Callithrix jacchus: one gene and its partners. The protein of the gene in region 1 interacts with the protein of each later gene in a biochemical or structural test. Links are inferred from orthologs where the notes say so. Each region holds a gene or a part of one and is shown on either strand. Other genes may lie near its edges.

Evidence for each region.
Region 2: the proteins of MDC1 (region 1) and H2AX form a complex in vitro, tested with the Homo sapiens proteins (5 studies listed by BioGRID and IntAct, with this or other methods). The link is inferred for Callithrix jacchus from reciprocal best matches to the Homo sapiens genes MDC1 and H2AX.
Region 3: the proteins of MDC1 (region 1) and TOPBP1 are reported together in a solved structure, tested with the Homo sapiens proteins (3 studies listed by BioGRID, with this or other methods). The link is inferred for Callithrix jacchus from reciprocal best matches to the Homo sapiens genes MDC1 and TOPBP1.

The regions. Positions count from the first base shown.
Region 1 is NC_133505.1:35,502,274-35,506,989, reverse strand, and holds part of MDC1 (mediator of DNA damage checkpoint protein 1), read left to right. Parts: intron 1-2,977; coding exon 2,978-3,769; intron 3,770-3,876; coding exon 3,877-3,944; intron 3,945-4,619; coding exon 4,620-4,716. UniProt on the Homo sapiens protein: Histone reader protein required for checkpoint-mediated cell cycle arrest in response to DNA damage within both the S phase and G2/M phases of the cell cycle.
Region 2 is NC_133511.1:18,752,677-18,757,218, reverse strand, and holds H2AX (histone H2AX), read left to right. Parts: upstream 1-1,596; 5' UTR 1,597-1,672; coding exon 1,673-2,104; 3' UTR 2,105-3,185; downstream 3,186-4,542. Other genes in the region: HMBS (porphobilinogen deaminase), read right to left, coding at 3,750-3,923, 4,008-4,094, 4,214-4,267, 4,505-4,542. UniProt on the Homo sapiens protein: Variant histone H2A which replaces conventional H2A in a subset of nucleosomes. Nucleosomes wrap and compact DNA into chromatin, limiting DNA accessibility to the cellular machineries which require DNA as a template.
Region 3 is NC_133518.1:50,475,149-50,479,964, forward strand, and holds the start of TOPBP1 (DNA topoisomerase 2-binding protein 1), read left to right. Parts: upstream 1-1,199; 5' UTR 1,200-1,261; coding exon 1,262-1,411; intron 1,412-4,816. Other genes in the region: serotransferrin-like, read right to left, coding at 1,031-1,073. UniProt on the Homo sapiens protein: Scaffold protein that acts as a key protein-protein adapter in DNA replication and DNA repair. Composed of multiple BRCT domains, which specifically recognize and bind phosphorylated proteins, bringing proteins together into functional combinations.

The DNA of each region.
Region 1 (4,716 bases):
GCTCATGCCTGTAATCCCAGCACTTTGAGAGGCCAAGGTGGGTGGATCACCTGAGTTCAGGAGTTTGAGACCAGCCTGGCCAACATAGTGAAACTCTGTCTCTACTGAAAATACAAAAATTAGCTGGGCATGGTGGCAGGTGCCTATAGTCCCAGCTACTCAGAAAGCTAAGGCAGGAAAATCACTTGAACCCCAGAGTCAGAGATTGCAGTGAGCCAAGATCGTGCCATTGCACTCCAGTATGGGCAACAATATGAGACTTCATCTCAAAACAAAAAGAAAATGTATGTATAGGCTGGGTGTGATGGCTTAAAATACAAAAATTAGTTGGGCATGGTGGTGTGCACCTGCCTTGTGCACCTGAGATAGGAGGCTCCAGGAATCCCTCCCAGTCCCTCCCAGCTGGGACTACTCAGGAGCTGAGGTAGGAGGATTCCTGGAGCCTTGATGCAGAGGTTCCAGTGAGCTGAGATCACACTACTGCACTCCAACCTGGGCAACAGAGTAAGACTCAATGTCAAAAAAAAAGAAAATGTGTATACATACGCAATGGAACAGTGTTCGGCCACAAAAGAGAATGAAATCCTGTCATCTGCAGCAATGTGGATGAGCCCTGAGGACATTATGTTAAGTGAAATAAGTCAGCACAGAAAGGCAAATAGTGCATGCTCATTCATATGTGGGAGCTAAAAACATGAAACATGGATCTCATGGAAGTAGAGAGTAGAATGGTGGTTACTAAAGGCTGAGAATGGTAGAGGGATAGGACACATAAAAAGATTGGTTAATGGATACAAAAATACAGTCAGGGCTGGGCACAGTGGCTCACACCTATAGTCCCAGCACTTTGGAAGGCTGAATCGGGTGGATCATGAGGTCAGGAGTTCATATGGTGAAACCGCATCTCTACTAAAATACAAAAATTAGCCGCCTGTAATCCTAGCTACTTAGGAGGCTGAGGCAGGAAAATTGCTCAAACCCAGGAGGTGGAGGTTGCAGTGAGCCAAGCCCATGCCACTGCACTCCAGTCTAGACAACAGAGCAAGACTCTGTCTCAAAAAAAAGATACAGTCAATTGAATGAATAAGTTCTAGTTCCACAGTAGGGTTACTATAGTTAATAATTTATTGTATATTTCAAAATAGCTGGAAGAGATTTGGTATGTTTCCAATACAAAGAAATGATAAATGTTTGAGATAGTGGATATCCCAGTTGTCTTGGTTTTATCATTGTACGTTGTATGCACAGGTCAAAATAATACAGGTACCCCATAAAAATGTACAATTATAGGGCTGAACGCAGTGGCTCACGCCATTAGTCCCAGGGGGGCCTGAGGCAGGTGGATCACAAGTTCAGGAGTTCCAGACCAGCCTGGCCAACATGGTGAAACCCCATCTCCACTAAAAATACAAAAAATTAGCCAGGCATAGTGGCAGCTAATTACAGGAAGTACTACTTCCTATAATTCCAGCTACTCAGGAGACTGAGGCAAAAGAATTGCTTGAACCTGGGAGGCAGAGGTTGCAGTGAGCTGAGATCACACCACTGCACTCCAGCCTGGGTGACAGTGTGAGACTCTGTCAAAAAAAAAAAAAAAAAAAAAAAGATTATTATGTGTCAACGAAAAGAAAATGTGGTATATATACACAATGGAATACTATTCAACCTTTAAAAAGAGGGGAATTCCAGCCGGGCATGGTGGCTCATGCCTATAATCCCAGCACTTTGGAAGGCCAAGGTGGGCGGATCACGAGATCAAGAGATCAAGACCATCCCAGCCAACATGGTGAAACCCCGTCTCTACTAAAAGTACAAAAAATTAGCCAGGCGTGGTGATGCGTGCCTGTTGTTCCAGCTACTCGGGAGGCTGAGTCAGGAAAACCGCTTGAAACCAGAAAACAGAAGTTGCAGTGAGCTGGGATCGCATCACTGCACTTCAGCCTGGTGATAGAGCGAGACTATGTCTCAAAAATACAAAAAATTAGCCAGGCACAGTGGCACATGCTATAGTCCCAGCTACTGTGGAGGCTAAGGCGGGAGGATCTCCTGAGCCGAACAGCTGGAAGTTGCAGTGAGCCATGATCATGCCACTGTACTCCAGCCTGGGTGACAGAGTGAGACTCTGTCTCAAAAAAAAAGAGAGGAAGAGATTACTCAGGGAACTCTCATATTAAGCTATGATGTTTCTCTTTTTTCATTTCTTTTTTTTTGAGACAAAGTCTCTCTGTCACTCAGGCTGGAGTGCAGTGGTATGATCATAGCTCACTACAGTCTTGACCTCCGGGGTTCAAGTGGTCCTCCTAACTCCCAGGTAGCTGAGACTACAGGACTACAGGTACCCGCCACCACGCCTGGCTAATTTTTTGTAGAAATAGGGTTTTGCCATGTTGTCCAGGCCAGTCTTGAAATCATGACCTCAAGCAGTCCTCATGTCTTTGTCTCCCAAAGTGCTGGGATTACAGATCAAACTAGCATACCCACCCAAGGCTATGACCTTTTTGAGAGAAACAGCGAAGAGCAGTGGCTCACACCTGTAATCCCAGCACTTTGGGAAACCAAGGCAGGCGGATCACGAGGTCGGGAGATCGAGACCATCCTGGTTAACACAGTGAAACTGTCTCTACTGAAAATACAAAAAACTAGCCGGGCATGATAACATGTACCTGTAGTCCCAGCTACTTGGGAGGCTGAGGCAGGAGAATTGCTTGAACCTGGGCAGCAGAGGTTGCAGTGAGCCAAGATTGCACCACTGCACTCCAGCCTGGGCGACAGAGTGAGACTCCGTCTCAAATAATAATAATAAGTTATAGCTACCACCCTTATTCCCAGCTTTGTTTTAATTACCTGTTTAGATTTATTATTCATGAGTTTATCTTAATCCTTTCTCAATGTATTTATTATTTCAACCTGTACCTCTCTTTCCCTCCTCCTCTCCTTCTCCTTCTCTTTCTTTCTTTTTCTCTCTTTTTACTTCCAGGTAGCCTAGATGAACCATGGGAGGTCCTGGCTACACAGCCATTCTGTCTGAGAGAGTCCAAGGACTCTGAGACCCAGCCTTTTGACACCTACCTTGAGGCCTGTGGATCTTGCCTGTCTCCACCTAGGGCAATACCAGGAGACCAACATCCAGAGAGCCCAGTCCACACAGAGCCAATGGGGATTCAAGGCAGAGAGATGCAGACTATGGATAAAGATATGGGTATACCAAAAGAAACAACAGAGAGGATGGCCCCTGAGAGAGTGCCATTGGAGAGGGAAACTGAGAAACTGATGCCAGAAAGACAGACAGATGTAACAGGAGAGGAAGAATTAACCAGGGGCATGCAGGACAGAGAACAAAAACAGTTGTTAGCTAGAGACAGTCAGAGACAAGAATCTGGCAAAAAGGGGGAAAGTGCAAGTCCTAAAAGAAATAGGGAGAGTTCAAAGGTAGAAATTCAGACATCTGAGGAAATACAGGAGAAAGAAGTAGAGAAGCAGACCCTTCCAAGCAAAACATTTGAGAGAGACGTAGAGAGACCAGTAGCAGACAGAGAGTGTGAGCCAGCTGAGTTAGAAGGGAAGGTGCCCAAAGTGATCCTGGAGAGAGGCACACAGAGGGGGGAGCCAGAGGGAGGGAGCCGGGACCAGAAAGGGCAGGCCTCCAGCCCAACACCAGAGCCTGGGGTGGGGGCGAGGGACTTTCCAGAACCTGCCTCAGCCCCCATACCTTCTGGGAGCCAGTCAGGTGAAAGGGGATCCCCAGTGAGCCCCAGGAGGCATCAGAAAGGTAAGTGAAGGCGGAGGGGAACCCAAGATGGTACACAGGCTTCATGATAACCCCTGAGCAACCAACTGCTTGGAACTCAGCCACCTTTGTGTTTACTTTCTGTCTAGGCCTGAATTGCAAGATGCCACCTGCTAAGAAGGCTTCCAGGATCAGAGCTGCTAAGAAAGCTTCCAGGGTGAGAGCTGCCTTTTCTACCTCCTCCTACTCCACAAGTCTTCTCTATATCCTCTCAATTCTCCCTCACCTAGCCTCACTTTAATCTATTCCTTTCTTATTATTCAGTTTTCTTCCATTTTCATCACTCCTTGAATGGCTTTTGTTCCTTTATCTTTGGCACCCGTTGTTTTCCATAACTGTTTCCCAAGTTGTATCTTCTATCTGACTCAAAAGAAAGACCCTTTTTTCTTGTTTCTTCTTTCTTTGCCCCAGCCATCCTTTTCATTACCATCCTCCATGTGTGGAGAACACTATAGTAGCATTATGGAGACAGGTCTGTGGGAAAAAGGTAGCTTCCCAGGTAGTTCCCAGTCTAATGGAAGAGAGATCATCATCAGAAAGGGAAATCCAGTGAGCATATCTTTTTTTTTTTTTTTTTTTTTGAGACAGTCTCACTCTGTCACCCAGGCTGGAGTGCAGTGGTGGGATCTTGGCCAGGCTGGTCTCTAACTCCTAACCTCAGGTGATCCACCTGCCTCAGCCTCCCAAAGTGCTGGGATTACAGGCGTGAGCCACTGTGCCCAGCCAAAATCCAGTGAGCATATCTGACCATAAACAAGTTATCAAGAACAGTATCCAAGTTGTATCTCTTTTCTCCACTTCCCGTCCATCACTTGCTTCTGTTTCTCCCTAGGGTGATCAGGAATCTCCAGATGCTTGTCTGCATCCTACAGTGCCTGAAACGTCAGCCCCACCCCTAAAGCCCCTTAACTCTCAGAGCCAGAAACGTC
Region 2 (4,542 bases), on another chromosome or scaffold:
AACTGCTGGTTTTTGGGATAGAACTTGGGCCAGGGCTAGGGACACAGGCTCCAAGGTGACATGTCATTTGATTGTAAATTAAGTGTTCTGATTAGTAAGAGCTGAGCAGGGGGCTACATGCTCCCAATGGAGACAATAAAGTGTTGTCTTTTTCTTATTGTTCCTGTAGGTATATTTCCTATATGGGCATTTTTGGGTAGATTGAGAGGGTTGGTGAGAGTACTTCCACCAACAGGATGCCTATCTCTCTCCCTTGCATAATCTGATACGGTGGTTCTGATAGCAGTAAGCAGCAGAGCCAGAAACAGATCTGAGGTTGACTCCACTTCAGTGCTCTTCCTATTAATTAGCCATGGAGGAGGGTTCAAATAGTGGCCTCCTCTCTCCTTTCTTCTAGCAAGAAATGAACAGAACTGAGACCAAACAGAACATGTTGAATAAATATTGAAATCCTGGCTAGGCATGGTGGCTCACGCCTGTAATCCCAGCACTTTGGGAGGCTGAGGCAGATGGATCACGACGTCAGGAGTTTGAGACCAGCCTGGCCAATATGGTGAAACCCTGTCTCTACGAAAAATACAAAAATTAGCCCAATGTGGGGGTGTGTGCCTGCAGTCCCAACTACTCTGGAGGCTGAGGCAGGAGAATTGCTTGAACCTGGGAGGCAGATGTTACAGTGAGCCAAGATGTGCCACTGACTCCAGCCTGGGCAACAGAGCCAGACTCTGTCTCAAAAACAAAATAAAAGAACTCCTGATACTTCAGGAGGGCCAAAAGATTAAAGTTACCCTGTTTCGTGGAATGGGATCACACTTTCAGAGTCACTGGGTGTGGTGGCTCACACCTGTAATCCCAACACTAGCAGGCAGAGGCAAGAGGATTGCTTAAGCCCCAATTCAAGACAGCCTGGGCAACAAAACGAGACTCTGTCTCTACAAAAATAAAATAATTAGCCAAGTATGGTGGGGCGCGATTGGAGTACCAGCTACTAGGGAGGTTGACCAGGGAAGATCCCTTGAGCCCAGGAGTTCGAGGCTGCAGTGAGCCGAGATCACACCACTGCCCTCCCGCCTGGGTGACAGAGCGAGACCCGGTCTATTTAAAAAAAAAGAAAGAAAGAAAAGAACGTTAAGGGTCTAATTTCCCTTTCTCCCTTTGCCAGGTAGGAGAAGGGTATAGAGAGTGACCTGGCCTGGAAAGGGAGGCAGCGGTAGCTGTAGTATTGACCCCTGTCCTTTAAAATTCCTATTCCAGCACAATTTCCCAGAAGTTTTCTAGGTGGCCTCAGACTCCACCCCTTCTGTCTTCAGCTTCTGGTTTCCGACTGTACCGTTTAAATCTCGCGCGCTTTACAATGATTGGCTACGTTCGCGGGTGGTTGGCCGTCTGCCCGCTACCCCTCCTTTTCGCCTTTTCTCCCCGGGCAAAAGGTTTTCAAATTTAACCAATCGACGGGCGCGCTACCTCAGCAGAGGCGCGACACCCAAGGGTTAATCGCAACCAATCGGAGGAGGGTACTGGAGAAAAGGGCCAATCAGGAGGGTGCGGAGGTGTGTCCTGGGGGCCTATAAAAACGGCCTCTCGGCGCGCGCGCGCGACAGCAGTTGGACTGCGGAGAGTGTTTGTCCTGGTGTCTCTGAGCCGTTGAGCTTCGCCGGTCTACCTCGCTAGCATGTCGGGCCGCGGCAAGACTGGCGGCAAGGCCCGCGCCAAAGCCAAGTCGCGCTCGTCGCGCGCCGGCCTCCAGTTCCCCGTGGGCCGCGTACACCGGCTGCTGCGGAAGGGCCACTACGCCGAGCGCGTTGGCGCCGGCGCTCCAGTGTACCTGGCGGCAGTGCTGGAGTACCTCACCGCTGAGATCCTGGAGCTGGCGGGCAATGCGGCCCGCGACAACAAGAAGACGCGGATCATCCCCCGCCACCTGCAGCTGGCCATTCGCAACGACGAGGAGCTCAACAAACTGCTGGGCGGCGTAACTATCGCCCAGGGAGGCGTTCTGCCCAACATCCAGGCCGTGCTGCTGCCCAAGAAGACCAGCGCCACCGTGGGGCCGAAGGCGCCCTCAGGCGGCAAGAAGGCCACCCAGGCCTCCCAGGAGTACTAAGAGGGCCCGCGTCGCGGCCGGCCGCCAGGCCTCCCCATGCCACCACAAAGGCCCTTTTAAGGGCCACCACCGCCCTCACGGAAAGAGCTGAGCCACTTCAGACTGCGGAGCAAGCGGGCCGCGGCTCCCGCCTCCCTGCCCCTCCCCTCGCCCACCGCCCGTCCTGGAGTCCCCGTCCGCCCCCACTCGTGGCCCGCGCCCCCTGCCGCGTCGGCCTCGGGCCCTGCCACGTCCGCCGGCCGCTCTCCGGCAGGGCTCGAGCGGTCCGGAAACGGCTAGGGCGCTCTGCGGGGACCGCCGTGGCGCGGAGGACCCGAGCCTGCCGGGGGGAGACCGGCGACGCCGCACCTGCCCGCCTCGGCGCTCGTGACTCAGCCGCCCGATCCTGAGTCGCCGAGGGGCTGCGGGGAGGCCGCAGCACCTTCTGGAAGACTTGGCCTTCCGCTCTGACGCAGGGCCGAGGTGGGCAGCCCAGGCCCAGAGGCCGGCGGCCCTGAAGGTGAGTCCGTCCCTCGGCAGCTGCAGCCGGGGCGTCTGGTCCTCCCCCGTCGTGGTGCTTAGCCCAGGACTTTGAGACGTGGCCGCTGGCCTGGAGGCTTTGGTGGGAGAGATGGGCTCGCTGATATCCGTCTGGCGCCCCCTCTGCGGCCAGGACTCAGGCCTTTCACGTCAGCTCTCCATCTTCATTCATAGGTCTGCGCTGGGGCCGGGACGAAACACCTGGTAACAGGCACATCTTCCTCCCGAGTGACTGCCTCCTAGGAGGACATTTGGGGGAGGGTGGAGGCCTGCAGTTTGGCTTCACGGCTGGCTATGTGGACAGCGAGAGTCGTTTTCGCGGAAGCCAACTGGCAGCCAGGCCTGTCGGGCCTCCCCACGCTGCCCCATGTCCCTTCCAGCAAACTCGACTCGGCAATCCAAGCACCTAGATACCAGCACAAGTCGGTTAATCCCTGTCTGGACTGAGCCTCTGTTGGCTTTCGAACTGGAATTTTGCAGCTAACCCTTCCAACACTAGAACCTGAGGCATTGGGGAGTTTTAGATGGACTAATTTTATTAAAGGATTGTTTCTTTTTTAAATGGAGCGTTTGTATTCATTCTGCAAGAGGGTTGTAGAATTAGTGACTTTGTACACCTTCCCGAGACAGTGGGGGTGGGAAGGGTATGCAATATAAATAGGCTCTACTGTTATAGAGAAGGGACAAACCATAGCAATTTAAGATTATGGCTGTTTCTCAGTGTTTCTGGGAGACAATTTATTCTGTGTGAAATGAAAACTATTTAGGCAGAAGCAGAAAGGATGTTCCAGGAGAACTTTGGGCAAAAGTCCCAGCCTCAGAAGTAAGGATGAAAGGGCTTTGTTCATATCTTCCTGCCCACCCCACGAAAGAAAAACAACAAAAAGCACCTTCAGAGCGGTTTATTAGTAGAACTGGTTACATTCAAAGGCTGTGGCTTGGATTTCTCTAAAGAGATGAAGCCCTCACATACTGAGGAGGCAAGGCAGTCATCAGGGGCTCATAGTGAGGCAAATCCCTGGAAGGCTTGGACCCTGCTGTTCAGTCTCCTGGGGTAATTGCTCCCCAGCTAGCATGACAATGGGCACTGGACAGCAGCAACCCAGGCATCTGCCCCACAGACCAGTTAATGGGCATCATTAAGCTGCCGTGCAATATCCAGGATGTTTTTGGCTCCTTTGCTCAGCAACAAGTTGGCCAGGCTGATGCCCAAGTTCTGGGCAGCCAACTGGGGTCCTCGTGGAATGTTCCGAGCAGTGATGCCTACTAGCTGTGGGTCATCCTCAGGGCCATCTTCATGCTGTATGAGTGGAGGTGGGATTTGGTGAGAACAAGAGAGATTACATGCACTCTTATTACCCCCCTCACCCTTCAGCTTTGGTACCTGGGCAGGGACATGGATTGTAGCCTGCATGGTGTCCTGTATGCTATCTGAGCCATCTAGACTCCAGACTCCTCCAGTCAGGTACAGCTGGGGAAGAAAACAGTTGCCTCAATACAGTATGAGAGGAGACTGCTTAGAAGCCTGGATGCACAGGAAGAAATGCCACAGTCCCTTCCCTGCCTTTCCACCAATTTTCCACTGCTTACTTGCCCATCCTTCATAGCTGTATGCACAGCTACTGGCACACTGCAGCCTCCTTCCTGCAATGAGAAGTTGCTATGAGCTCCAAGGGCTCTTAATACCACCCTGTGACCACAGACCTAAGGACACCACTGAAAAGGCAACTGTGAGCCCGTACCTGGTCCTCTCAATACACAACATTCAACAAGAATGAGTTAGCACTATATACAAAGCATTCATGTGAGAAATCTCCCCACCACCCTTCCCAGCTCTCCAAGTCCCCAGCCCTCCACAGGCTGAGCACAGGTCGTACCTACCAGGTGCCTCAGGAAGGCCCTTTCAGCGATGCAGCGAA
Region 3 (4,816 bases), on another chromosome or scaffold:
GCTGCCGAAACTGCCTATTGTAACCTAAGACCAGTTTTAGTTAGCACCTACTGAAACCTCGTTTTACCTGCTGCAGCCCCTCAACAATCAGGACTTGCCAGTTCCCCAAAACTTTACTTGTGCCAATGAACTTTCTGGAAGAACATTTCTCCTTTTCTATGGAACCTCCAATCTTCTCTTTGTTCTTTGGACATATGGAGGACCATCCAGTCTGTGTACGTGCCTGGAATTTCAATTCTTATTCCCACATAAAATGTTTTAAACTTAGAGATATTTGACTTGGACAAACCTGAAAGCTGCCCTAGATGATATTTAACTGAGTGAGCATGACTGCATTCTAATAAAATTTTATTTATGGACACTGAAATTTGAATTTTATGTAAATTTCATGTCACATAATATTGCTCTTTTGATTTCCCCTTCAACTTTTTTGACAAAGTCTCATTCTGTTGTCTAGGCTGGAGTGCAGTGGCATGATCTCCACTCACTGTAACCTCCGCCCCCCTGATTCAAGTGATTCTCATGCCTCAGCCTCCCGAGTAGCTGGGATTACAGTCGCACACCACCACACCCAGCTAATTTTTGTATTTTCAGTAGAGACGAGGTTTCACCACGTTGGCCAGGCTAGTCTGGAACTCCTGACCTGAGATGATACACTACCTCGGCCTCCCAAAGTGTTGGGATTACAGGCCTGAGCCACCGCGCCCGGCCTGTCCCCTTCAACCATTTAAAGATGTGAAAAGCATGCTTGGCTCAGGCAGCTGTGTACAACACCAAGCCACAGACAGGATTTGGCCAGCTAGTCGCAGTCTACAACCCTCTCCCTAGTTAATGGAGTTTCTGCGAGGACCAAAGTGTCAGGTGCGCCCTAGTGGAGAAAGCACTTTTAGGGGCTCATCGCAGCCCCGCAGGCCCGCTTGTCCGGTCGTAGCGCAGGCTCCCGCTGTGACCGACCCGCTGCTGGCACCCAGTGCCTCCCCGCTGCACCCAGCAGGGCCGGCCCCCACCTCCGCTCCCGGCGCCCACTCACCCAGGGCTCCAGCGCACGGCAGGGCGCAGAGGGCCAGCCTCATTCTCCGCGGCCGGCGCGCGTCACCAGCCCCGCTCTCGCGCCTCGTCAGGCTTTACCCCGCTGGAGCAAGCAGCGCCTCCTGGGAAAGGTTCGCCCGCCAGGGCTGATAGCCCTCGCCACTCCTCCCACTCCTCCCCCGGGGCAGCCAGCGAGCAGCCCGTGCCCTCCGCGGGACCGAAGGGCTGCAAGATGCCAGCCCCTCTCCAGTCCCCTGCCCAGCGCCCGGGTCTGCGAGGTTGCATCTCCGGCGAGGGGGCCGCACCTCAGAGCCTGAGCAGTTTCGAAGCTCGCTGGTCTGGCCACCTTACAACCCAGAGACAGATCCGCCGGGGGTCCCAGGTGAGTTGCCAGTACACAGGTTTCTGACCCCCGGACCCTCACCTAGCCCAGCAATTCCTAAACATTTCAAAAACACCAAATCCTCGGGATTCCGGTGCAGTACATAGGGTGGAAACTGTGGGCCCTTCCCCCTGGAAGCGGGGAACGTTTTGAACACAATTGTCAGGGATTCTCAGACTCTCTCCCAAAGGGTTTCCACTGGGAGAATGGACTACTCCTGTGTCCTCTCAAAAACTCGACCCAAATGACACTGTCCTCAGCAGCCCTTTGCTCTGGAAGGCCGAGGTCAGGTGAAGCCCCAGAGAGGGCTGCCTCTCCTCACCCCTGTAGCCCCATCCTGCTCAGGTCTGTGACTTCTGCCTGGAGAAAATCTGAATTTAAATGAAATTTTAAGAACTTTTAAAGTATAATAAATGTACATAAAATATCACATATGCTAAATAAATGTACAGCTTAATTATCATCAAATGAACACAACCACATAACCAGCGCCTCCATCAAGAAACAGAACATTAACAGCTGACTTTCACTCACTTCCCATTCTCCCTCCCACAAAGGTACCCATTATCTTGACCTCTAACACATAGACTAATTCTGTTGATTTCTGAGCTTTATACAGATGGAATCATACCATGCATACAATTTTGTGTTTGGCTTCTTTCACTGGAGAGTCTGTGTGAGATTCACCTATGCTGTGTATAGCTGCCCTGCATTCATTCCCGGTGTTGCAGATTCTACACTGTGTATGCAGCACATTTTGTCTTTCCTCCTGATGGCTGTAGTCTTCAGTTTGGGCTCTTATGGAGACTGCTGCTGTGAATATAATTTTAATTTCATTTTCTATCTGTTGCTGGCATCTGCAGAAAAAAAACAATTGGTTTTTGTATATTGACCTTGAATCCAATGATCTTGCTGAATTGTCTTATTAGTTGGAATTGCTTCTTTTCTATTTACATCCTTATGTCTTACATGAATAATAACGGTTTTGCTTTTTCCTTTCACATCCTTAGGAGTCTTTTTTCTCTTGACTTACTGCACTAACTAGAACTTACATTACATTCTACTACACGTCTTTTAGTGCACTTAGGTATGCATTACTGCAGGGTTTCCCCATATATCATGAAGCAGATGTATGTTCAGCTTTAACAGATACTGCCAAACTGTTAATACAATATTCAGTAAAAGTGGTGATAGGGAAAGTTTTCAATACTTCTCCATTATGCAAACATTTTGCTGGTGTTTTGTTTTGTTTTAAATATTATTAACCATTATCAGGGATCTTTCCTTCCTTCCTGGGTTGCTGATTTTTTTTTTTAAATCATGAATGGATGTTGCATTTTGTTGAGTATTTTTTCTGCACCTAAGGTAATCATATGATTCCCTTTTCTTTTTATGCTAATGTGGTGAACTTCTGTAATTCTCTTTCTTTCATTCCTTTTCCTGTTTTTTTTCCTCCCTCCCTCCCTCCCTCCCTCCCTCCCTCCCTCCCTCTCTCCCTCTCTCCCTCCCTCCCTTCTTTCTTCCCTCCCTCTCTCCCTGCCTCTTTCTTTTTTTCTCTCTCTCTCTCTTTCTTTCTCTTTCTTCTTGCTTAATGGGGTCTTGCTCTATTGCCCAGGCTGGAGTACAGTTGTGGGATCGTAGTTCACTGAAGGCTCCACCTCCTAGGCTCAAGTGATCCTCCCTCCTCAGTCTCCCAAGTAGCTGGAGCTGCAGGTGTGCACCACCACGCTTGGGCTCCTTTAATTGATTTTTGTTGTTGTTTTCTTTTTTTGTTTTTTCCTTTAATTGATTTTTAAAGGTTAATCTACTCTTACATTCCTGGAATAAATCCCACCTGGCTATTATGTATAACATTTTTTACATATTGCTGATCTTGATTACTTTTTTTAAGGATTTTTTGCATTTGTGTTGATGAGAGAAATTATTCTGCAGTTTTCTTTATCTTAATGTCCGTAAAAGTTTGGTTTCAAGGTTATAACGGCTCATAAAATGAACTGAAATATGCTACTTCTTTTCTTATTCTCTGGAAGATACTGTGTAAGAATAGAGTTCTTTATTTCTTAAACGTTTGGAAGGCTTCACCAGTTAAGTCATCTGTGTTTAGAGTTTTACTTGTGGAAAAGTTTTTCATAACAGATTGAGCTAGAGAAATATCCAGATTCTATGGTTCTTCAAGCTTCAATGCTGGTGAGTTTTGTTTTTTTAAGAAATGTGTCAATTTTATCAAAATTTCAAATTTATTGATATAAAACCATTCATAACCTTATCCTTTGACATTTTTAGTATGTGGAGGATCTCTCTTTTTATTGTTGATATTGGTGATTTATGTTTACTATGTTACTACTTTTCTACTTTTCCTTGATTAGTATTGCCAGGATTTTATCTATATCATTAATTTTCTCAGAGAATCAACCTTGGCTTTGCTGATTTTCTCTACTGGACATTCATTTATCATTTCATTGATTTCTGCTCTGTTGACTTTCTCCCTCTCTCTCTCTCTTTCTCTCTCTGTCTCTCTCTCTCTTTCTTTTTTTTTCTTTTTCAGACTCTCACTCTATTGCCCAGATTGCAGCCCTCTGCAACCTCTTCCTCCCAGGTTCAAGTTATTCTCCTGCCTCAGCCTCCTCAGTAACTGGGATTACAAGCATGAGCCATAGCACCCAGCGAATTGTTTTTTGTTTATTTGTTTTAGGTGAGATGGGACTTTACTGTGTTGTCCAGGCTGGTCTCGAACACCTGGCCTCAAGTGATCTGCCCACTTTGGCTTCCCAAAGTGTTGCAATTACAGATATGAGCCACCATGTCTGGCTTCTCTTTTTTTTTTTTTTTTTTTTTTTTGCTGTTGTTTGTTTGTTTGTTTTTTTAAAGGCAGTTAAAAAACAGGAAACTCATATACTTGATATATTTATTGAAGCCTCTTCAAAGTGTGGCATTATCTTTATCTTTTTCTTTTTTTTTTTGAGATGGAGTTTTGCTCTGTTGTCAGGCTGAAGTGCAGTGGTGTGATCTCGGCTCGCTGCAACCTCCGACTCTCAGGTTCAAGGGATTCTCCAGCCTTGGCCTCCTGAGTAGCTGGGACTACAGGCTCCTGCCACCATGCCCGGCTAATTTTTTTGTATTTTTAGTAGAGATGGGGGCTTCACCATATTGTCCAGGATGATCTCAATCTCCTGACCTTGTGATCTGCCCACCTCTGCCTCCCAAAGTGCTGCGATTACAGGCTTGAGACACCGCGCCTGGCCAGTATTATCTTTTTCTCTCCCATTCCATGGAACTTCAAATTGTGCCCAGTATGTTAAGGAGAAAACTGGCCCTTTGTCAAACTTAGTTCTCTGCTTCTCCCTTCTCACTGGGATCTTGCCTCCACTTCTGTTTTTCCAGCCCCGAGACTGCCATCAGCTCAGT